Linked DNA regions of Arabidopsis thaliana. The protein of the gene in region 1 interacts with the protein of each later gene in a pairwise test. Each region holds a gene or a part of one and is shown on either strand. Other genes may lie near its edges.

The links.
Region 2: the proteins of SK7 (region 1) and AT4G05460 interact in a two-hybrid assay, tested with the Arabidopsis thaliana proteins (one large-scale study listed by BioGRID).
Region 3: the proteins of SK7 (region 1) and AT3G03360 interact in a protein complementation assay, tested with the Arabidopsis thaliana proteins (one study listed by BioGRID).
Region 4: the proteins of SK7 (region 1) and AT3G17490 interact in a two-hybrid assay, tested with the Arabidopsis thaliana proteins (one study listed by BioGRID).

What each region holds. Positions count from the first base shown.
Region 1 is NC_003074.8:7,693,608-7,698,908, forward strand, and holds SK7 (SKP1-like 7), read right to left. Parts: upstream 2,330-5,301; 5' UTR 2,261-2,329; coding exon 1,883-2,260; 3' UTR 1,621-1,882; downstream 1-1,620. Other genes in the region: SK8 (SKP1-like 8), read right to left, coding at 1-332; SK9 (SKP1-like 9), read right to left, coding at 3,482-3,943. UniProt on the Arabidopsis thaliana protein: Involved in ubiquitination and subsequent proteasomal degradation of target proteins. Together with CUL1, RBX1 and a F-box protein, it forms a SCF E3 ubiquitin ligase complex. The functional specificity of this complex depends on the type of F-box protein.
Region 2 is NC_003075.7:2,758,860-2,765,221, reverse strand, and holds AT4G05460 (RNI-like superfamily protein), read left to right. Parts: upstream 1-2,776; 5' UTR 2,777-2,821; coding exon 2,822-3,159; intron 3,160-3,545; coding exon 3,546-4,116; 3' UTR 4,117-4,587; coding exon of another isoform or gene 4,588-4,702; 3' UTR 4,703-4,720; downstream 4,721-6,362. Other genes in the region: AT4G05470 (RNI-like superfamily protein), read left to right, coding at 1-283, 1,459-1,966; MFDX1 (mitochondrial ferredoxin 1), read right to left, coding at 4,588-4,702, 4,801-4,883, 4,958-5,007, 5,137-5,243, 5,321-5,433, 5,849-5,916, 6,117-6,174. UniProt on the Arabidopsis thaliana protein: Component of SCF(ASK-cullin-F-box) E3 ubiquitin ligase complexes, which may mediate the ubiquitination and subsequent proteasomal degradation of target proteins.
Region 3 is NC_003074.8:792,160-798,737, reverse strand, and holds AT3G03360 (F-box/RNI-like superfamily protein), read right to left. Parts: upstream 3,833-6,578; 5' UTR 3,700-3,832; intron 3,579-3,699; 5' UTR 3,452-3,578; intron 3,376-3,451; 5' UTR 3,234-3,375; coding exon 3,232-3,233; intron 3,107-3,231; coding exon 2,473-3,106; intron 2,359-2,472; coding exon 2,176-2,358; intron 2,111-2,175; coding exon 1,820-2,110; 3' UTR 1,725-1,819; downstream 1-1,724. Other genes in the region: AT3G03370 (uncharacterized protein), read left to right, coding at 1-55, 175-294, 855-1,033, 1,144-1,315; AT3G03350 (NAD(P)-binding Rossmann-fold superfamily protein), read right to left, coding at 4,185-4,205, 4,390-4,491, 4,694-4,792, 5,110-5,202, 5,286-5,362, 5,621-5,810, 6,005-6,040, 6,182-6,245.
Region 4 is NC_003074.8:5,982,238-5,988,044, reverse strand, and holds AT3G17490 (F-box and associated interaction domains-containing protein), read right to left. Parts: upstream 3,219-5,807; coding exon 2,052-3,218; downstream 1-2,051. Other genes in the region: AT3G17500 (F-box family protein), read right to left, coding at 241-1,360; AT3G17480 (F-box/associated interaction domain protein), read right to left, coding at 3,725-4,849.

The DNA.
Region 1 (5,301 bases):
TGGCCTGCTAGATGAAGAAGGCTTTTGTTGTTTAGGAAATTCGCAGCATTGGTGAGAGCAAAGATCGTGGATTTATCTTTTTCCATGAACTCCTTGTCCCACTTCTCGAGATCATCGTCGGAGCAAGGATTAGCGGCATCGACGTGGTGCTTGTTGCAGTACTCGATCACCATCTCAAGAATCTCGCTTGTCATCTTTAAAACCAGGATTACGTTATCTGTACATTCGGCTTCAATCATATGAGCTATGGTCTGGCATTGGCGTGCGGTCTCTTCTTCAATCTCAAACGTTTTACCCTCGGAGCTCTTCAACATGATCTTTTTCGTCGACATTGTTGTTTTCTTTGTGGGGGAGATTTGTTTTTTTTCTCTGGAAGAAATTTTGATGAAAGATTGAAGAATTGAGAAAATGATTGAGTAATAAGGTAATGAAGTTATGAACCTATGAGTCTTGTCTATTTATAAGCCCTAACTTTCATAGATGCATGTATCGTGTCAAGTAAGTCACGAAAGCATGAAGTTGTATGTCTACTCATGTTGATGTTGTTCTTCCATTAAGTCTTTTTTTTATGTGTCTTTTTGATTAAAACCACAACATTTTTATGTGTTTACTTGTAAGTTAGTATGTAAGCCCTAACTTTCATAGATACATGTATGATGTATCGTGTCAAGTAAGTCACAAAATCATTAAGTTATCTACTCATGTTATGTTGTTTTAATTTCCACTAAAGTATTTTTCTATGTGTCTTTTAGATTATAACTACAACTTTTTTTTTAATTAGAAAATTCGTGTTTTACAGTGTTTACTCCTAAGTTTCTATATAATTCTTCTTTTAATTCTTTGTTTTTTATTATTATATACTGGACTCAATTTTCCCAAATAAACTTTTTCATCAAGAATGCACTATACGATGTTGTTTTATACACATTAACGCGTCTTCAAACTTTCTATAATTGCATGCATAAATATCACGTCGTCTTACGCAATTGATAGTATTACACGGCAATTGATAGAGGCCCTCGCAGTAATATCTAACTCCAAATGTATATCAAACTTTAATTTAGACACAATCAAAGAAAAATGAAAAACAAGTTTCAAGTTTCAGACTATACTAAGAGACTCGATCAATGATGCTTAAGTCAGAACTCAGGACAACGCATTTGAATACGGCCTTTAGTTGAAATTTCAAATGTTTTAATAATTGTTTTGCAACAAACCCATGTAAAAAAAGAAATCATTTCATCATCGTATTACACGGACGGTAATATAGTCTTTGTTTCACTTTAACAAAAAAAAAAAAATATAGTCTTTGTCTCTTTTTCTATATCTATTTGTTTTTCTTGATACTAAAAATGTAAAAGCGTATCATTTTCTGTTAAACAGTAAGTATCATTTTTAATACATTTTATACGGTTAAACAACCCAAAACCTACCAAAATTAAACCAAAACAATTCTATATATGCATACAAAAGTTTTTTAGTATACAAATAAACGAAATATAGTTTCTTTGATATATTTAATATTTTTATGTGTTTGGATTAAAACCACAACTACTTTTTATTATAGGAATACAAAAGTATTTCATCGAGCAAAGAAGAGTATGTTTTTTAGTATCACAATAAACGAAATATATGTCTACTTTCATTATTTGATTATTGAACTTTGATGAAGTCATCATCAACTACATTGATCAAGAAATTGAAAAACACACACTAACGAAGAAAGAAAAAGAAAAAAGAACAGAAAGAAAGCTTCTTTCATTATTAGATTGTCGAACGTAGACGAAGTCACCATCATCTACATTGATAACGAAACTGAATAACACACACTAAAAGAGAGAAAAGAAAAGCAAGAAAAGCTTCTTAGGTTTTGATAATCCGCTCATTCAAAAGCCCATTTATTGTCGTTGACCATATCCGCGACTGTTTGGTAAGCTAGAGCAAGAAGGCTTTTGATGTGTAGGTCATACGCAGCATTCATGAGATGAAAGATCGTGTATTGATCTTTTTCCATGAACTCCTTGTCCCACTTCTTGAGATCCTCATCGGAGCAAGGATTAGCGGCATCGACGTGGTGCTTGTTGCAGTACTCGATCACCATCTCAAGAATCTCGCTTGTCACGTTTGAAACCGGGATTACGTTATCCGTACATTCGGCTTCAATCATATGAGCTATGGTCTGGCATTGGCGTGCGGTCTCTTCTTCAATCTCAAACATTTTACCATCTGAGCTCTTCAACATGATCTTTTTTGTCGACATTGTTGTTTTCTTTGTGGGGGAGATTTTTTTTTCTCTGGAAGAAATTTTGATGAAAGATTGAAAAATTGAGAGAATGATTGAGTAATAAGGTAATGAAAATGAGTCTTGTCTATTTATAAGCCCTAACTTTCACAGATGCATGTATCGTGTCATGTAAGTCACGAAAGCATGAAGTTGTATGTCTACTCATGTTGATGTTGTTCTTCCACTAAAGTATATTTTTTTTTGTGTCTTTTTGATTAAAACAACAACTTTTTTATGTGTTTACTTGTAAGTTAGTATGTAAGCCCTAACTTTTTCATAGATACATGTATGATGTATCGTGTCAATTAAGTCACAAAATCATTAACATTGAAAGGTTATATAATCTGTAACCTTTATTTGAAATTTCATGTGTTTTAATACTTTCAATATATGGTCTTTGATTTTATATTTTCCATATCTCTTTGTCATTTCTTAATGTATACCAAAAATGTTCCAATTAAGTAACTTCCGCACACAGTTTTAAATTTTAATTAAAAAAAAAAAACTCATCCACTGTTTTTTCGCATAAAAAATATAAGAATTTATTCAATTATATGAAATTTTACTTTATAATAAAATCAAAATCCAGTAGTTATACGAAATTAAGTTCATTACTTCATTGTTGCTTTACGAATAAGTCTGAAATTTGAATATGTCTATATCTTATACGCATCTATAAATATATATATTATATTGCAGTTTTTGTTTTTCGTTAAAAAATATTGTATAGATCTCAATTTTTTAGAAAAGAAATATGTCAATATATATAACTTTTTTTAGTTAAATCTATTTAGCTTTTAATATTTCGCCTGAATTTTGTATAATTTTAAACACATTTTATAAGATTAACAAGCCATAACCTGTCAGAAATTTAATTAAAAAAAACAGAGGAATGCAAAAGTATTTTATCGAGTAAAGAAGAGTATTTTTGTAAGTATCATCACAACAAACGAAATATATGTCTACTTTCATTATTTGATTATTGAACTTTGATGAACTCATCATCAACTACATTGATCAAGATATTAAAAACACACACTAAAGAAGAAAACGAAAAGAAAAGAAAGAAAGCAGCTGCTTCCATTATTGGATTATCGTACGTAGATGAAGTCACCATCACCTAGATTGATAACGAAACACACACTAAATAAGAAAGAAAAGAAAAGAAAGAAAGCTGTTTAGGTTTTGATAATCCGCTCATTCAAAAGCCCATTTATTCTCCCTACGAATCGCTGCTTCTTCCTCAGGTGTTAAATCATTCTCAATGTTGAAGAATTCGCGAATCTGCTCAGGAGTGTTGCCTTTGATGATTTCCGCGACGGTTTGGCATGCTAGATCAAAAAGGCTTTTGATGTTTAGGTAATTCGCAGCCTTGATGAGATCAAAGATCGTGGATGTATCTTTTTCCATGAACTCCTTGTCCCACTTCTTGAGATCATCGTCGGAGCAAGGATTAGCGGCATCGACGTGGTGCTTGTTGCAGTACTCGATCACCATCGCAAGAATCTTGCCTGTCACGTTTGGAAGAGGGATTCCATTATCGGTACAATCATTTTCACTCATATGAGCTATGATAATCTGGCATTGGCGTGCGGCCTCTTCTTCGACCTCGAATGAGTGACCATCGGAGCTCTTCAATATGATCTTCTTCGTCGACATTATTTTTTCAGTGGGGGAGATTTTTTCTCTGGAAGATTGAAGAATTGAGTAAATGATTGAGTAATAAGGTAATGAAGTTATGAACCTATGCGTTTGTCTATTTATAAGCCCTAATAACTTTCATATATGCATGTATCGTGTCAAGTAAGTCACGAAAGCTTGAAGTTGTATTGTATGTCTACTCATGTTGATGTTGTTCTTCCACTAAAGTCTTTTTTTATGTGTCTTTTTGATTAAAACCACAACTTTTTCATGTGTTTACTTGTAAGTTAGTATGTAAGCCCTAACTTTCATAGATACATGTATGATGTATCGTGTCAAGTAAGTCACACAATCATTAAGTTATCTACTCATGTTATGTTGTTTTAATTTCCACTAAATTATTTTTTATATGTGTCTTTTAAATTATAACTACAACTTCTTTTTTTTTTTTTGGAAATTCGTGTTTTACAGTGTTTACTCCTAAGTTTCTATGTAATTCTTTTTTTTTTTTTATCTACTGGACTCCATTTTTCCAAATAAACTTTTTCATCAAAAATGCACTACGATGATGTTTTATAAATGAATGCATAAATATCACGTCTTACGCAATTGATAGTATTACACGGTAATATCTACCTCTTTGATTCTAACTTTTTTTAGATCTTAATTAATACCACAAACACAAAGTTCCAAATAGGAAACTTCAGCTCACAATTTTAATCAAAACAATTACATATGAATACAAAAGTTTTTTACAATACACAATGAATGAAATATATATGTCATTATTGGATTATTGAATTCACAAGTACTTGCCAATAACTTATGTCGTGTGTAACTGTGTAATTAGTTTTGCTCTTCTTAACTATTCCTTCTTGTTACTGATTTCCTCTACAGTTTTGTCATTGTATTGTGTCAAGTAAGTCACAAGAGAGTTTAGTTGTATAGTTGTATGTCTTTATATATATATATATACGGCAAAAGCTAATTATCGTTGTATGTCTACTTTTTTTTTTTTTTTTTCGAAAGTTGTATGTCTACTCATGTTGATGTTGTTCTCCCTTTCTTTTTAAGCAATGCTGTTCTTCTACAAAAGTCTTTGATATATTACCTTTCTATGTGGCCATTTGAGTAAAACCACAATTTTTTTTTAATTAGGAAACTCGTGTTTGTTGTATTTACTCCTAGATTTGCTTGTAATTCCGTTTTTATCCATTGGACTAACCACCAACTCAAATTTTCAAGAAAAAAATGAAGATTAACAATGCACTATGATGTTGTGTACATTACATACGCACTTGAAAACATTGAAAGGTTATATAATCTGTAACCTTTATTTGAAATTTCATATGTTTTAATACTTTCAATTAATATAT
Region 2 (6,362 bases), on another chromosome or scaffold:
GAAACTGGGTGGATCTTCCGCCGGAGCTGACGACTTCGATCCTGCTGCGTCTTAGCCTGACTGATATACTGGACAACGCTCAGAAGGTGTGTAAAGAGTGGCGACGCATTTGTAAAGACCCTTCGATGTGGCGGAAAATCAACACGCGAGACTGCCTCATGTACAACTTTGATTTCGTGAGCATGTGCCGTCACATTGTTGATCTCAGCCAGGGTGGCTTGCTAGAGATCAACGTTGATGAACACTTCTTGAGCGATTCTCTCCTCAGCTACATTACCGATAGGTTCTCTCTCTCCCTTCGCAAGCACGCTAGCAACCTTTGAACGGTTTTTCATGGAAATCTCCAAATGCTATTTAGAGAATTATGTGGCTTTTATTTGATTTCACTGTCTGTGAATTAGACACAAATGGTCCTAGTACATATATTTTGACAGAAAAGAAATCTCTAAAATGTGTTTGTTCATTTTTCTCCTGAGGATTAGCTAGGGCAAAAATTTGATAACTTATAATCGTTGATTTCGTTCGGTTTATTATGTGTTAATTAAACTCAGTTTATCATGTTTTTTTCCTTTTACCGGATCTGGCGGTCTGCTATGAATGGACTTTGGATATTCTTTTACTACGTTTGGGTTAGATATAAACAGATATATATGAAGGATAATTTTCATGCTTTTATAGTGTTTTTAGATAGTAGTTGTTTTAGATTTTCATGCCTTAATAGTGTTTTAGATATGAGGCTAATTTCTATGCTATGACGCTGCTATATATAAATTTATAATAGTCCTTTGTTCTTACACTATTCTAGTCTTGTTTTGTTTCACACCGTTATTACTCTATCATCATCATCATATATATATTTTACTTGTCATGGTTATAGAAAACAAGTAATTAGGTTATTAGCATATATAAGAATATCATTACCTTATAAAACTCTTATGATAGATCCTATCTTAAAGCATCATTACACTTTGATCTTTTAAGCCAAGGAATTTGGATATATATGTATACATTTACTTTTACTCGAGAATGTATGCATAGATATGATTAGATATGCATACTATTTTAAAGCATCAGTTTTATTTTGAAGTCACCGTTGATATGATGATGTTATAATATAGTCCTTATTCGATCGGGTCTTGTTTTGTTTCACATAGTTACTGTTATATCATACATAATTACTTGTCCTTTGTCATGGTAATAATGAAAAAAGTAGTTAGGTTATTATAATTATAAAAAGATTAGAAGATTATCAACTTATAGAATTCTTATCATAGACTTGCTTAAAGCATCTTTAGAGTTTGATCTTTTAGGTCCCAATTGAAACAAATGGTTTGTTAATTACATGCTTCTAAGTTGATTAGTACTATGAGAATTTCTAATATTATTATTATTGTTTTTTTTAAGAACATATTGCTCTTCTTCTTCTTATAGTTTATGATTTAACTCATATATTTGCAGATCAAGGAATCTGAGAAGTCTTGGACTTGGAATGTGCTTTCCAAGGGTGACGAAACTAGGAGTTGTGAACGCAATTGCAAAAATTCCATTGCTTGAAACCCTCGAGGTCACTCACTCATGTATAAAACTGGATTTAAAAGCTATAGGCCACGCTTGCCCACAGCTAAAGACATTGAAGCTAAACTCCTTAGGCCGCCTATGGCCAGCCAGTGACAAGTATGACAGCAACGTGTTAGACGATATGGGGCCTCTCGAATGTGATGATGATGCTTTAGCAATTGCTGAAAGCATGCCCAAACTACACCACCTCCAGCTTATGGCTAACAGACTAACCAACACAGGCTTGAATGCCATTCTCGACGGTTGTCCTCACCTGGAACACCTTGATGTACGCAAGTGTTTCAGGATTAGCCTTGTCGGGAATCTTGAGAAGCGATGTTTGGAGATGATCAAAGAGTTGAGACGCCCCGGTGACTCAACCGCAGATTACCCATATAATGGTGTGTGAGTTGTGCTTCAGCTGATGAAGACATGTGGATACTCTGAGAAAAACAGGGTTGGGTTTAATCGTCTTATCAACTTTTGAACTCGTTCCATGTGATCATGTCTCCTCTTTTCTCTATGATGCCAATGACTATTATTGGTATTAGATATTGAATCTTCCTGAACTAGTCCTGCACATTCATTTATCCATTCGGTTACGGTTATATCCATTCGGTTATCGGTTTTTCGGTTCTAAAATTTAGTATCTATTCGGTTATTTTGAAAGTTTGGTTCGGTTTTGGTTCTTTCGGTTTTAAAATTTAATATCCATTTTGTTATTTTGCTTTGAATATTTTCGGATATTTCGGTTATTTTTGAATATTTTTAGATATTTTTGGATATTTTCGGTTATTTTTCAAATACGTTTACCATTTTGTATATATTTTCAACTATTTTTAGTTATTTAGTATAGAAATAACTAATATTTTTAAAAATATATTTATATTCCGGATATTTTCGGTTACCCAACATATTTCGGTTACCCAAAATATTTCGGTTATTATCCATTCGGTTTCGGTTCTTTCGGTTATAGAATTTAGTTTCCCTTCGGTTATTTTTCAATTTTCGGTTCGATTTGGTTTGGTTTCGGTTTGGTACATTCGGTTCGGTTTATTAGCCGAGGCCTATCCTAAACAATGGAGAGAACATTTGTTTTTTGTTGCTCTTGCCAACTTTTGCTGTGGGTACAATATAATTATAGGCCAAGGCCCAATATTAAACTAGGCTTGGCCCAAACTGGTTTCGTAGATATGTGATACCATAAGGATCTAATTGTAAAATTAGAGACTGATGATAATTCTTGACAATTCGATACTTAGAAATGGCTTCTTCGTCTTCACCCCCGGCGGCGATGGAGGTCGGAGAATCTACAAACTGGACGGAGCTTCCACCGGAACTGACTTCAGCAATCCTGCACCGTCTTGGCGCGATTGAGATACTTGAAAACGCTCAGAAAGTTTGCAGATCTTGGCGTCGTGTTTGTAAAGACCCATCGATGTGGCGTAAAATTGACATGCATAACCTCGGAGATTTGGACGACATGGATTACAACCTCGAGATCATGTGCCGTCACGCTGTTGATCGTAGCCAGGGAGGCTTGGTTGATATCGGTATTTGGTACTTTGGTACTGTTGATCTCCTCAATTACATCGCCCATAGGTTCTCTCTTTTCCCACTCAAAATTTCGCCAATTTTTATTTCCGTCAAAAGGAGTTTTTGATTCCTTGTTTAGAGAACTTGGATTGATTTGATTTCAATATGTTTGTTCTAGGGTTAGAACAGTTTTTGGTTGTGGAAGTTACTATTTCTTGTGAGAATTGGGGAAATTATTTGTAGCTTATGATTGTGTTGTGTTACATTGTATCTAAATTCTATGTTGGAGTAGTAAGTAGTCACTTGATTATAAGATTGTTATGCTTCTGAGGTATGAATAGTTAGGTTCAGGTTTTTATGGGATGCTAGAAAAAAGATGTTTTGGATCTTTGTCATTCTTCTTCTCTATCTTAGATGTTGTTTTTAACTTTGTTACACACAATTATTTGCAGGTCGAGTAATCTGAGAAGCCTTAGACTTATAAGGTGTTCTCAAATTACAGACGATGGATTTGTCGAAGCAGTTGTGAAACTTCCACTTGAAGAACTCGAGTTGTCATACTGCTCATTTTCAGTAGAGTCTCTCAGAGTTGTAGGCCAGTGTTGTTTAAATATGAAGACTTTGAAGCTGAACAAGCATCCTCAAAAGGAGAATGACGATGATGCTCTAGCAATCGCTGAAACAATGCCGAAACTTCGCCATCTCCAGCTTTGTGGGAACGGGTTGTCAGACACCGGTTTAAACGCTATTCTTGACAATTGCTCAAACCTGGAACATCTTGATTTACGCCGGTGTTTCAATGTTAACCTTGTTGGGGATTTGCAGAAGCGGTGTTTTGAGAGTGTCAAAGTTGTGAGACACCCTAATGACTCGATTCATGATATCGACATTGGTTCATCAGAAGACGAAGACCCTTATGACTTCTCTGATATCGATCTGATGTCAGGTGATGATGATTTTGAGGGTTACTATGACTTCTCAGGTGCTAGTGACTTTTCTGACTATGACCAGTTTGATTTCTAGATGCATCGGTTTCGTGCAGGTGAATTTTTTTCGAACTTGTTCATGACTTGTTTTAAGTTAGCTCATAGTTTCAATGGATTTTATGTGTCCTTGAAGTATGTTACCGTTTGTAATGATGTCTTTTGCTGTTTGTCTTTCAACAATTTCTAAGCTCAGAAAAGTTTCAAAGATGGTGATTGTTTCATCTTGCTTTTGACGAAAGAAATTGAGTTTATTCTCCAAAAAATTTGCTTAACGCTTGTTGTTCTGTTAGAAACTCAGACAACAACGAGAAATGCCAATATCAAAACTAAGATAAGTAATAAAAAAAATCATCAAGTCCTCCAATAGAAACATAATCATCTCTTTGATCATTTCATGCCTCAGGTCTAAGAACTGTTTCCTCTCGGTAAGCAATCATCAAAACTCCAATAGAAACATGAATCAGCTCTTTGATCATTAATGCCTCAAGTCGAAGAATCTCTGCGGAAACTAATGAGGTTTTGGAACAAACCCGTCAACCGCGAAATTCCTTGTTGCTGAAGGAATAGCCAAGCGCACACCATCTAGCTCTGGTCTTGCAATGACTTGGCATCCGAGTCGTGACCTGAAACATTTGTCCGGGAACATATGATACTTTCTCATTAAAGTAAACAATTAGACTTCTTGTTTTGTGTTTGCTTTAAGAGTAAGAGAGGACTTTACGTTTCTGTGAGCCCAAAAGCAAGATCAAGCATATCATTCTCTTCATCTGTTGGTTCTTCAAGTTTGTTATAGTATTCAGTATCCTGTAAATACAATCTTAGCTAGTTTCCGGAAAAGCAGAGGATTCGATCTATTAATAATGGAAGAATATGTTTACCATCACAATCACATGACACGTTGAACACGCTAGAGAAGCCTCACAAGCCCCTGGAGATCAAGTAAAAGCAATCCATGAATTTTCAATTCGAAAAAGGATCAATATAATTAATAGAACCCATCTAAAGCTATGAGAGTAAGCAATTGAAAACGAGAAGAAAATGGAAGAGAAGTGTGCACCTTCAAGGTCTATATCATTTTCATGAGCAGCTTCGAGCACTGACATTCCAATTGGTACTTTAACAGGAATTTCCTCTCCGTCCTTATCAACAAAGATTATGGTTATCCTGAAAACAACAGAATTATGATAAACTATCAGCAAATATTGCTTCAGCGCTGGATGAATATTTCGGTAGTAACTTACTTCTCAGTTTCTTCATCACCATTCTCAGAGGAAGTTGTTGAAGAAGTACAAAACTTATGGCTCTTCAAAAACCAGGCTTCCTGAGAAGTCCTAGCTTGCCTTGGTACCACTGGCTATCGAAAAGATGAAACGAGAAAGATTCAACCATCAATGTGGAAACAAAACAGAATCTATGAGTGACAAAACCAAGATTTTCTGTTCATTCATCCATTATAGACCACCCAATTTCTCACCTTAAGCCTTTTCTTAGGCCTTTGAGCCAAAACCAAATATAGGACTCTTTCCAACTGGACACATTAGAATCGTCACTAACAGATCCATCTAACACCAAACAAGCGCAGAAAAGCTACATTTCGTTCTTCTGCGATCACTTTATGACATTACTAACGAGATTCTACCTAGCCAGATAATAGAGTGAACTCTAACAAAGAATCCTATTCTAAGTATTAATGAGAGTTTATACATGAAGAAGTAACAAAATTATCGATTGTAAGAGAGTATAAAACTCGAGAACAAGCTCAGACTAACCAAAGACTGCAAGTAGTGGCCATAAGACCGGTGTAGATTCTTTGTCCCGTATGTTGCTAAATATCCCTCTGCCAAAACAAGAAATAGAAAGAGCAGCAAAATATTAAGGCAGCATTGTGTAGGCAGACAATGTTTTAGCAAAACCCATGAATGAGGGACTAAAATACGCATACGCAGTTCGAAATCGAAGTGAGATTAGAAACTCCATCAAAACCAATATAGCAAACGCATCAAAGAGCATCGATTTAAAGCAGATACCAGATAGTACCTCTTGCGAGCTGTTTAACAATAGTAGACCCCAATCTTGAGATCCTATGACCGATCATCGTTCACTGCCGCTAAAGCACCTAGCTGAAACCTCGAAAGAATTGAAATTTAACCTAATTTGAGTGTGGACCGAAAACAAGGCAAACCCAGAATTTAACCAAAGCTAAAAAGAAACCTTTACTCACCAATCTACCTGTCTTGAGAATTGAGATTAACGATGCCAAAAAGATCCAAACTTGGGCAAGAA
Region 3 (6,578 bases), 6.9 Mb from region 1:
GGTCCCTGATGATGACCATGGACTCTATGCAATTGACATTCTAGATCCCTCTTGGGTATAGTAAAGTAGCTAGATATTACTTTGTGCATTGGCTACTTGTATGCAGTTGTTAAGTTTAGGAGTGAGGATAAGTAAGATGGAAATTGTATCTGCAACCATTTTTGTATCATAAAGAAGGTTGCTAATGAGGACATTTCCGGTCTTGGAGATTTAGTATCTGTTCTTTCAAAGCTTTCTAGGGGTGCTCGTGTTCCATTGGAATATATGTCTCACACTGATCGTCATCGCAAGAAGGTGATATTTCTTGTTTAAACAATCTTTTTGCTTAACAAATCTCTGCTGTTATCTTAAAATCCTTGATGTCACCAAAAAGACACAGATTTTTGTGAATTTGTTATATGCTGCCAATGTTTACATTAAACGATTCTGTTTTCATCGAGTAAAAAACAGAGGATCAAAATACAACTTTTTGGAAAGTGATTTGACAATTTACTTTGTTTAACTCTCTTGATAACATCACTTCATAGGGATTGCTAACAGACTGTTTTATTTTTCAATGTTACAGCATCTGAATAATCTTCCATTTCGTTTTAAAAAAAACAGAGATTTTGATTTCTTCAGTCATCTGTTCTTGAGAGATCGCCTTGGTGGTGGTGATGAGTCTCTGAAATAGCCAACCATATACATTTAGACAACTGCCATTAGAATTCCACAAGGACAACCTATGACTGCAGCTTTCCATGAAAACATTGCTTCTCTGGCTGCTTGGTCTGTGTCGAGCATGGTTCTTGGATTTGCATTCCACATATTTTGTTGTTGTTTGCGTAAATGTTCGGATCGTTCAATCTGTCTAGCTGAGGACTCTCATGGATTCTACCTATAAGTTTGTTGTTGCTCAACTCCATACATTCAGCTCACTGAGCTTGGATAGTTTCTGCGGGATTTCGCCTGAGAGGTTATTGTGTGAAAGGTCTACCTTCTCAAGATTTCCAAAACTTTGTGGGATCAATCCAGAGATGTCGTTGTATGAGAGGTTTAAAAGCTTTAAGCTTTTGAGATTGCCTAAAGAATATGGGATTTCTCCGAATAGCTTGTTATGGAGAGGTCTATCAGAGTGTAGAGGCAGACGTTATTGTTGGCAAGACCTTGCTTTGAATTCTTCCAGTTCACTGCTAAGTTATGTATTACGATAGTGAAGCTGTATATGAAACGCAAAAGCGAAGATGAACTTACGAGAGATTCTTTCATGCCTGTATCCCAGGAGATGAAGGGAGAGATCCATCAAGATTGTTCTCAGAGAGATCCAAGACCTTGAGACTTGTGATATTTGATATGCCTTGCTTCTGTTCCTTAGGCCAAAATTTGTTCGATTCCGCAACTTCTTTTGTCCTAGGTTTGTCACCTCTGACTGATTCTTTGTTTATCTTAGGTACGTGGATCTCAAGGCATGCATAACTAGAATTGAAGAAAATGGATATGGAGCAAATCTTGCTCCTTGGCTCAGCTCCCCACCGGATAGGCTGCAGACAATGCAAATTGATTCTTACATAGCCCGAAAAGAACTCTCTGTTGCTGAATCAAAAGTACTGGAAAGAAATAATATCAAACTGTGTACATGAGAGCTGGATTTGGCGGGTACTGTTTCTCAAGGCAATGCTCGCTCACTAGACCGTTTTTCCGAGGTTAGCCAGTAGATTGGAAATGGTAAAACGTAAAAACAATTTCACAACTTAAAATCAATTTAACAGAATTCGATTATTTCAGTAAGAAAAACAAACAAGAGATTTTCATCTAGTGTACTACTTAAATGTAAAATGACTTAAGTCACTCTGAATCGTTTTCTTCTTGAGCTGAGCACAATGGAGACATCGTTGTTGCGAGGAAGCATTGGAACCATCTGACGCAACTCTACAAAACGTCTTCCTTTGATATAACCTTCCAACCTTGCGACAATCAACTCTAATGTTGATATGGTTTTAAGCACAAGTTGCAGAAACGAAGCCACTTGCTTTGACTCTACATTCCTGCGGGAAGTGTTCTTAAACTCCGAGCTCCAGGATGGATCCCAATTCAAGCCATGAGAATCCAAGTATATGTCAATATGCTCTTCCTGTAATGCAAGTATATTTCAATATGATGATTCAAAATTCGGGGTCAAGGAATATTCATAATTACCGGTATGGGATATGAGCCGGCAGACCCCATTGGGTGTATGGTTAGCTTCTTCAAGTCAGGCGAGTTTTGTAGCACCTTTACTATACCATGAATAACATATCGAGAGATCATTGTCTCAAGTATCAGAGCTTTAGCCTTCAACTTTGGAAAAGAAACACCACGGAGCTCGGCAAGAGATAACATCTATAACAAACAAAAAAAAACAGAAGACAAATGAGTGTATACCAAAAAACACACTAGTTTTCTTGAAAATCAGAGCCTAATTATGTAAACTAAATCAGGAGTGAAAACATATACCTTAAGAAAGTTTGCCCCCAAAGTAAGCTTCTCCACATTCTGACACTTTTCTAACATCTTTACCACCATGGTCTGATGAAAATCAGCCTCCAGTTTATTATCAACTATTGCGTAAGCGGTAATGTCTAGTTCAGCTTGGGATAAAGAGGAGACATCAACTAAAGCACATGGTTTCTCAGAGTTTATCAATCTGAGACAACGGATATGTGGTGCAACGAGCTGTGTTGGCTCCATTCGACATCTACGAGTGATTTCTAATGTTATCAGACGCGGTGATTTGCTGAGATCAAGGACCTTCAGTTTCTTGCAGAAAAACAACAATAAGCTTTCGAGAATGGGACAACCAGATAGAATAATAGCAATGGATTCATCAGAGATGTTGCAATGATACAATGACAGGTTCTTCAGGGATGTCCAAGACACAGAACATTTGGGATTCAGAGATATAAAATCCTTTTTGCAGCCGAAATCAAGGTAGAGTTGCTTGAGAGAGGAATTGATGTAAAGGAATTCAGGGATATCATATTTATCCTCATCGAGATACAGGGACAGATTCTCCACGTTTCGGGACATGGCGAAGTTGATCCAACTGTCGATGTCAGCATGCGTGTCGGGTCTGCTGATACAGGCTGCCCTGCAACAAGAACAGATACGAAAACTCATCATCTTGGGAGCCCTGTAGCGATCTAGGATTCTGTTAATACAAGGAGCATCCGGTCTGTCCCTATGGAAGGAGAGGGACCATGTATCAGACCATACATGCCTCCATCGCCTGGATAAAACGGAAGTTTTGATCGCCAATCTGGTTGGAAGATAGGAGAGAATTAGTTGGAGAATATCATCAGGCAACCTACTGATCAAGTCTCCAGCTTCTTTGAGATAGCTAGGGCTTGCGCATGTACTCTGCAATTTGTATAAATATCGCATCACCCACATAAGAGAAAAAGGATTGGATATTTGGATTATAGAGAGATATTACCTTAGAGGAAGAGAAAACAGTAGACGAAGCATCGGGTCTGGTCGAGTTTTCCTGACTTTCCTTCTCCATCTTTTCGGTTTCCGAGTTCACCTTTTCTTCTTGTATAAACTTTTAGATCTATTGACATCTATAATAAATTTTCGAAGATCACAATCTAAAAATGATATTTACCAATTTGTATATAATGATGATAAAAGGAAGGAAATATAGGGGAAATGAGTAAAGGAGAAGAAGGAGAAAGCAGTTACCAAAAATTAAATTACTGCCGGCACATATCTGCAGAGAAGGAAAGAATGAACAGTGATCAGCCTTGTGACAGCTTTGGCAGGAGTGTTGTCTGTGAGTTTCTGGCAGCAAGTGAATCCCCAAAAGCTTTTCATTAGTCTTCAATATACGCATCACATAACTTTCTTTTCGGTTTTTCTTTTCTAGGAACTCAAGTCCACTGGGCTCAAAAGCCTGTTGGATTACTATATACAGTAGTCCGATTTATCTCGTAGCTGCATCTGAAAACCTCTTGAGCGCAAAGAAACTAAATAGCAAAAGCCAAGGGAAGGCATGTACTGCACTAGATACATCACAAGCAGTACTGGCTGATAAATAGCAAAAAGAAGATCGTATATCAGCATCTAAACTGAGTGAAACATATGCGATTTTGACAAACAAGTACCTGATATGAAATCCAAGCTTCCTTCAAGCTATGAGACGCGGCGATTATAGTCAGTTCTGCATATCATTCAGATGACACACGCTTCTGTGTAGCAAAAGAAAAGATCTTTGAGTGGAAATAAAAAGAGAAAGAAGCCGGAGATAGAAGATCCTAATGTTGAAAAGGAAGAGGATTCTATGTGTCTACAAGACTGATTAGTTGCTTAAAGGAAAGGTACAAGTACAAAAAACTGACAACTTAATCAACAAATCACAATCAGTTAACCAACCTCATGAGACTTCTTGTCTTCCGAAGTTGATGTTCCTGTACCATTCAACGTTTCTATTGGACCAGGAATAACGACGGTCACTTTGATTCCCTCCTGACAGAACTGAAACCATAGGCAGATTGTGAACCAACTGTGAATTGTTACTTTATGGTGCTATTCTCAGCAATTAGTGAAAAGGAATGTAAAAGAAAAAATCAAATCAGAAAACTCTGAGGTAGCTGTGAGTTTTCTATTGTGACTTTCAATAAGTCATTAGCTGCCAAATAATTAGCAAGCACCACAGTTTCTTTAACTTTTAACATACCTCAGAACGCAAGCTGTGGAAGTAGCCGTGCAGAGCATGTTTTGAAGCAGAATATATAGCCTGTCCAGGTGATGGTACCTTTCCTGCAGCACTGCTTATCTATAGACTGACGTGAATTATTAATCATGACATTTAACCCAAGGAAATGGAAAATTAACACATACAAGAATAGCTAACCGTAGTTTGACTTCTCAAGATGTGTATACGGTAACATGATTTGGAATTTAGCAAGCAGAAGACAAAAATACAAAAGAAACCTTAAACTATCTATACATAGCTTAAAAGCCTTAGATTTAACATATAAAAAACGCAATGTATATCCATATCCATAAACTATGATATGAAGCTCAATCCTTCAACAAATCCACAAAATTAGGGCACTTAACAAAAACTATCCCTCGTTAGTCTCCACGTACCACAACAAAATGACCGCCTCCTTGTTTTAGCATATGAGGAGTGACCAACTTTATAAGAGTTATCGTCCCAAAGACATTGATATCGAATGTAGTCTGCACACAAAGTCATTGAATAATCATATGTCACCAAGCAAACCATTGTATGGCCTACGGATTTTATGCAATTAATTTAGTACATTGATAGTTTCCTCACTTGCATCCGATGCCTTGGATTTCTGCAAGAAAAAAAATATGATGATGAAACGACATAAAACTAAGGTACAGAGCATTTAAGGCAAAACCAACACAAATCTCAACCGTTCAAGGCTAAGACAAACCTAATGAAGAAACCTGACAAAAGCGTAGCCAGCAAATAGATTTGTATGAGGATGTTTTGATGGAGAAGGAACTTATAAGGATGCAGAGCTAATGCAATAAACTATTTCAAGATCAATGACGATTCTGATCACAATGCTGAGAAAAAACTAGAGAGTCAGTTTTAACAAGCATTTTGCAGAAGAAGGGAACTTACAAGAATGTTGAGCTTGCCACTGAATCAACTTATCCCTCTGATCTCTAACCGAACCAGACACCACTAAACCACTGGATTTGCAATCATTTAAGCATGCTTTTAGCTCTTCCTGTCTTGTAGTGTAGGAGGCTGCAGGAAGGCAAAGAAAAGCAACCAGTGACGCGATTTCCTCCGGTGCTGGTAATCTTAACTATGTTAACATATAACAGATCTTGCCTAATAGATGGAAAACTTACATGAGATCAACAAGCATCACTATATGGTTCAACAAAAAACCGTAAGCCTTCACATTACATGTATGGAATAGACAGATAGCTGATCATTCGAGGCAAAACCACCAAAAGTCTAAACCATTCAATCCTAAGACCAAACATATATAGAAACCTGATAAAAGTGTGGCAGAATGGTTCGAAGATTGTTCTATCGGATAAGAAACTTGCAAGGATACGAGCTAATGTGATATGTAGAATTTCAAGATTGGTGAAGATTCCAATGTGTAGAAAATTCAATAAAAAAAGCATAGAAAACAACAAATGTCTTTAGCATGAGAAGGGAACTTACAAGGATGTTGAGCTTGCCGCTGAAAGCAGAAGAAACTTCCTGAGTCAACTTATTCCTCTGATCCCTAACCATTTATGTGCAACTCCATAGTCAAACACAGACAAAATCTTCCAAGTGATCCTCATCAACCATTTGCTTTCAGATTTTGATTTTGGTGACAGGAATCGATTTGAGAAATAACCCCAAAACCTGAAATAGAATCAATTGTATCTAAAATGGGATTGAGAGACGTCAAAATTGTTTTGAATAGAATGAATTGTACCTAAAAACAACAACTTTCATCAGATTGAGAGAAGAAGACGAAAAACTAATATGGAGCTAGCAACATGTATACTATTTCACTTTTTTTAGAGTTTTTCAACCAATCAGAAGGCTGTATTTCACCCCCACTCTCACA
Region 4 (5,807 bases), 1.7 Mb from region 1:
TAGATCAAGCGTAAAACCATTTAACAAATTACTCATGTTTCTCATGAACAGCGATGAGATCCTCTGTTTTCATACAAGAATCAACTTAGTAATTAATTAAAAAGCAAACTTGAGTGTAATGCAAAGAAGATTTCTATTGAAAAAAAAGACCAGTTCTTTAGTTAATTAAAAATGACATTGCCAAAGAAAAAAAAAAAGAGAGAGCAAGATGCATTGACTAATTTCGATTTTTTCTTTTACGTCTTCTGCGTTTAGGTATAACTGTAGCTTGCGGGATTTGAACCAAACTTGGAACGTAGTTGAAAACAAATGGCCTGTGTGATCTTATTGGAGAATCTCCGACATATAATTCTCTGTAATATTTATCCTCTCCAATAATGTAGAACATGCGTCTGCTAGTCTCATTGATGCCTCCTATATAACCATCACAAAACACGGCCATTTTCTTCTCCTCGTCGATGAAGAAACTCACACAAGACCAATGATAACAAGTACGTTGATCAATTGCTAAGAACTTGATCCACAACAAGTTTTTGGTCGTGTGATCAATCTTGTCATTGGTCGTCACCCAAATCTCCCTCTCTAGAGTATCATTCCTCTTAAGTAATACTGAAAGTTGCTTTTCTCTAACAACTGATAGAGCTTCAGTTTCATAGTCAGATTTCAGAATCGGAAGATTCAAGCGTTGATATCTTTCTATTGAGAAATCAAACCTTAGTATGAGATCTATATCTCGTTTTTCATCGGAAGCTAGCCAGTAAGTATTTCCTTTCAAAGACACCTCTCCTTCTGTGAGGCAGTAGGGATTAACTTCATCAATAAACCTCCATGAATCAGAGCTAAAGTCATAGATTTCGAACTCACTAACTCGGTAGTTAGACATGTAAAAATTCCAGTACCTCAAGATTTTGTAGCTATGGCGAGAGTTGTTGTTGACGTACCCAAGAACAAACTCAGAGTTAGTCTTGTAATGTATACTGTGTTGGACCCGCCTGGTTTGGCCAGTACAAGGGTTCCAAACCTCAAGTCTATCGTCTTTGGTGGTGCATAACAATAAACCATCGCAGTGAAAGATTCCAGATATTTGCATCTGTGGCCCAACTACACCCTTCAACTCTATAGATGGAGCAGCGATGTTATTGTGAATTTCATTGAGATTGACGCTCACTGAGGAAACCCTACAATCCTTCAACATTAGAACTAGAAACTGCTTTGCTGCTATAACAGAGTGCTTCTCCGTGAATCTTTGGTCTTTGTAGCAATTGTTCCATGATTTGCAAGTAGATCGTAATCGTTTCAAAGATGTTGCTGGAACCCTTGAGAGTATTTCCTCTACTAAATCCAGTGGAAGATTTGACATCATCTTGTCCCGAGGAAGAAGAAGAAAGCGACTTCGGCCCTGTATACCGACCTTTATACCCTAAGAAACTAGGGTTTTGACTTTCTTAATAGACAAACAAGTAACGATTAATTACGCTTTTTAACCTTTTCTTCCTACGTGGTCTCTTTTCCTTTTTTTTTTTAACATCCTACGTGGACTCTATTTGCTAATTTTACTTCTTCTTCTTTTTTTCCTTTCCAATTTAATTTTTATTTTTTAGCGTGTTAACATTTCCACTAACTTGAAATCTTGATAAATGTATTGATTTGTAGAAAAAGAAAAAGAGTTTGTTCCTAGTTTGTATCTCGTTAAGAATTGATAATAATTTGAGAAGGAAAAAAAAAATGATATCATATCATGACTTTTTTTTTTGGTTTTTAATAATTGTTGAATTACCGCCGTTGTCTGATATAATGCGTCTGAAGGGTACCAAACCACGAGTCGTTATACCAAACAGTCTAGAGTTTATCAAACTTGCCAGCTATATATATGTTGGTTCATTAGTTGAATTTGAAAATAATGCAAAGAATAAAGGAACGAGAAAGTAACGAAAACAAAAAATGATCAATTCATTAATTAAGTAATGAAAGGACATTGACTAAGGAAACCAATACATATTAAAAAAAAAAAACGGAGGAGATGCAACAAATTACAACCTTCAATCTTGATTTTAACTTGAGAAATCTTTTCGCTTTCTTTTCCTTGTAGATATCAGTCCACTTTGCTTGATTTGAACTAAACTTGGAACATAGTTGCATAGATATGTCCTACCTAATTCGTATGATTCTGGAAAGTAGAATTCTCTGTAGACTTTATCCTTCCCAACAATTAATACCAATGACTTGTAGGTATTTTCTCTGTGTTTATCATAACACAAAATGATATTCTTTTTCTCATCGATGAAGAAACTTAGGGGAGACTTCATCATCATGCTAATAGGATAGTCTAACCTATTGATTAATCTCACTGTGAAGAACTTGCTCCATGACCAATCTGTGGTCTCATCAATTTTATTGGTCACCCATATATCCATCTTTTCTGTATCAAAACTCTGATGTAACACTGAGAGTTGTTCTTCTCTAAAGGCTGATAGAGCCCTAGAATCATTGTAGTCAAATATGTGAAACGGAAGAGGAAGTTTCTGAAACGTTTCTGATGAAAAATCAAAACGTCGTATGAAGTAGTGTGTTTTTGTAATTGTAGCAAACCAATAACTATTTCCTTTGACAGACACACTCCTACCTTCTATGATGCAGTTGGGATTAACATCGAGAACCCTCCATGAATTAGAGCTAAACTCAAAGATTTCATACTCAAACTGCTGTCCTTTTATTTTTTCGCAAACCCTCAGGATTTTGTAGTTATTAAGGCAAGAAGACTTGCTGTTGTCATATCCAAAAGCAAAGGTATCACACATCCTACGATTCCTGCGTTTGATCCACCTGGTTTGACCGGTACAGGGGTTCCAAACCACGAGTCTAGTGTTACGCTTCGTGGAGCATAATATTAAACCGTCGCAGGGATAGATTTGTGATATTTCGAAATCGTTTAAATCGTTTAGACTGCTAAGTTTACCTTTGAACTCCATAAGTAGATCAATGTTGTTGTTGTGAAGAAGTCCATGCAGATTTGAGCTCATTGAATAAATCCTAAAATCCTTCAATGTGAGACCCAGATATGTCTTCGGTGCTTTATCACGGTGCTTCTTACTGAATCTTTGATCATTAAACAAAGCATTCCATTGTTTGCAAGTATATCGTAATCGTTTTAGAGATATAGCCGGAACCCTAGAGAGTATCTCCTCTACCAAATCCTCTGAAAGATGAGGCATCATCATAGTTTCTCTTGTGAATTTCAACGTAGAATGACATAGAAATTAGGGTTTCAACGTACGTTTTGCAGTCTTATATATATAGACAAATATAAGATGACCTCCCTCAAATATTTGTTTTTTCCTTTTTCCTAGATGGATTCTGTTTACTAAAATAGCAGATTTACATATCGTATACTTTTGTATTTTTGTGAGGATTGTTAAAGGCTTTAACTTAAAGCCTAAAAACGTTTTGAATTTCCTTATTTGTGCTCTTTCTTTCTTAGTTTTTTTTTTTGGGTGCTCTTCTCTCTTTAGCAAAGTTCATAATTATCAGGAAAATGGAAAAATTGAAAGTAATGCAAAAGAAGAAAAGAACCATAAAGTAACGAAAAAAGGAAAATGATACAAGAGAAAAAGGATCAATTCATTAATTAGTCGAAGGACATGACGATGATAACAAAAAAAGAAGAAATTTATAGAGGAGGTTCAAGCAATTGAATTATTTTAAACGAACGAATACTGAGATATTGCTAGATTTGAACTAAACTTGGAACATAACAGAACATTTGTGGCCAAAATGGTCCATCTTCAAGATCCACAATTCTCAATCTATCTTGTCCAATAATGTATACAATGCTGTGTATGTCATCACTATCATCGGGTACATCCTCACTAAACACGGCGGCTTTATTCTCCTCGTCAATGAAAAAAGTTACACCATTATAAAACCGATGAGTGTATAAGTCAACTCTTAAAAATTTGCTCCAAGACGTGACAATGGTGTCAGTGATATCATTTGTCACCCATATCTCCATCGTTAAAGAATCTTCTTCATGAAACAAGACTGAAAGCCGCTCTTCTCTTACAGAAGATAGTGAGATCACATCGCTATACCAACTAGTTTGAAACGGAAGGCACACATGTGGCCCAAATCTTTCTCTTGTAAAATCAAAACTTGTTAAGAAACAATTGACTAATTCTCCATCTACTTCATGATCATCTATAACGATCCAATAAGTATTCCCCTTTACTGACATGCCTTGGCTACCTATGTCTAGTTCGAAGTCTATTTCGACACTATCAAGAACCCTCCATGAACTCGAATTAAACTCGTAGATTTCCAACTCAAAATTAGTTCCATCATCCAAGAACCTTAGGATTTTGTAATCACGGCACAAATTTTTGTTTTCGTATCCGAGAGCATACTTATGGTATCTAGTGTTAGCACTTTCAGTTTGGATCCACTTGGTTTGACCCGTACAAGGGTTCCAAACCACGATAGTGCTAGTGTTGGTGAATAGCAATAACCCGTTACAGTGAAAGACTTCAAAACTCTCGACTTTACCTGAATTACAAAGGAGACCTTTTAGGTTAAGTTCACGCTTTAGCTCTATAGAAGGATCAATGTTGTCATGAAGTCCATGGAGATTGACACTCATCGAAGAAACCCTAAGACTCCTTAACAACATATCCAAATACTCCTTTTCTGCTGTATCAAAGTGCTTCTTGATGAATCTACGATCATTTAATATTGCGTTCCACTGTTTGCAAGTAGATCGTAATCGAACTAGAGATGTCGCTGGAACCCTAGAGAGTATATCCTCTACCAAATCTTCGGTAAGAACGGACATGGGAGAAGATTGTAATGTCATCATTGCGATCTCACAAGGAATAAAGAAGCTACGTACAAGGGCTGCAGACTAAAAATTGGGGTTCTAATATTTTAGGTTTGACGTACGTGCTCGTCTTATGTAGACAAAAATAAGTTGAGTTTATAATTTGGGCTTATTGAATCATGGATTTTAATTTATTTTTATTTTTAATGATTTTAGATTTGGTTGGATTTTGATAGGATTTAAAAATTTAATTGTGTCAATCATAAATTATATGTTAACAATTAACACCTATCTTTATTATATAAAATATAGTTTTCAAAATTAGTATCTCACATAATCATGAGACGTGTCAAGTCTATCGTTCAGATGTTGATATGTGTCAAAATAATTTTTTTTTAATTTTTTTCTTAAAAAAAACAACTTAAAAAAGAAATATATTTACATATAAACTTAGATCATATCTATATCTAAATAAATTAAATTATAATTTTCTTAACTAAAAAGAAAAACTAACAATAAGATGGAGTGTATAGAATTAAAATGTATTTGTATTGCAAAATCAAATTGTATTATGAATTTTATACAATCAAATTAAATTGTATTTATATTATACTAAAATAAATATTTAAGTTGTATTGCAAAATTGAATTTGTAAGATTGAAATTTGGTTTGAGGAAATACTAAATTAATATGGTTATATTATGCCACATGTCAAACTAATCAATCTTAGATTTTGACACGTGTTAAACAAAAATTTATTTATTTATTATTATTTTTTTAAAAAAATATAAGGAAACTATACAAATATCTTATTAAAAACGATTTCAAAAATGTTAAAGTTAAAATAATAAGGAAACTATATGTATCTTATTAAATAAAAATAGAAATTTTAAAACACATATAGATATATAAAAAACCATACATATACAGTATATGATAAATAATATATATAAGAAAACTATACATATATATATATATATATTTTAAAATGTGTAGA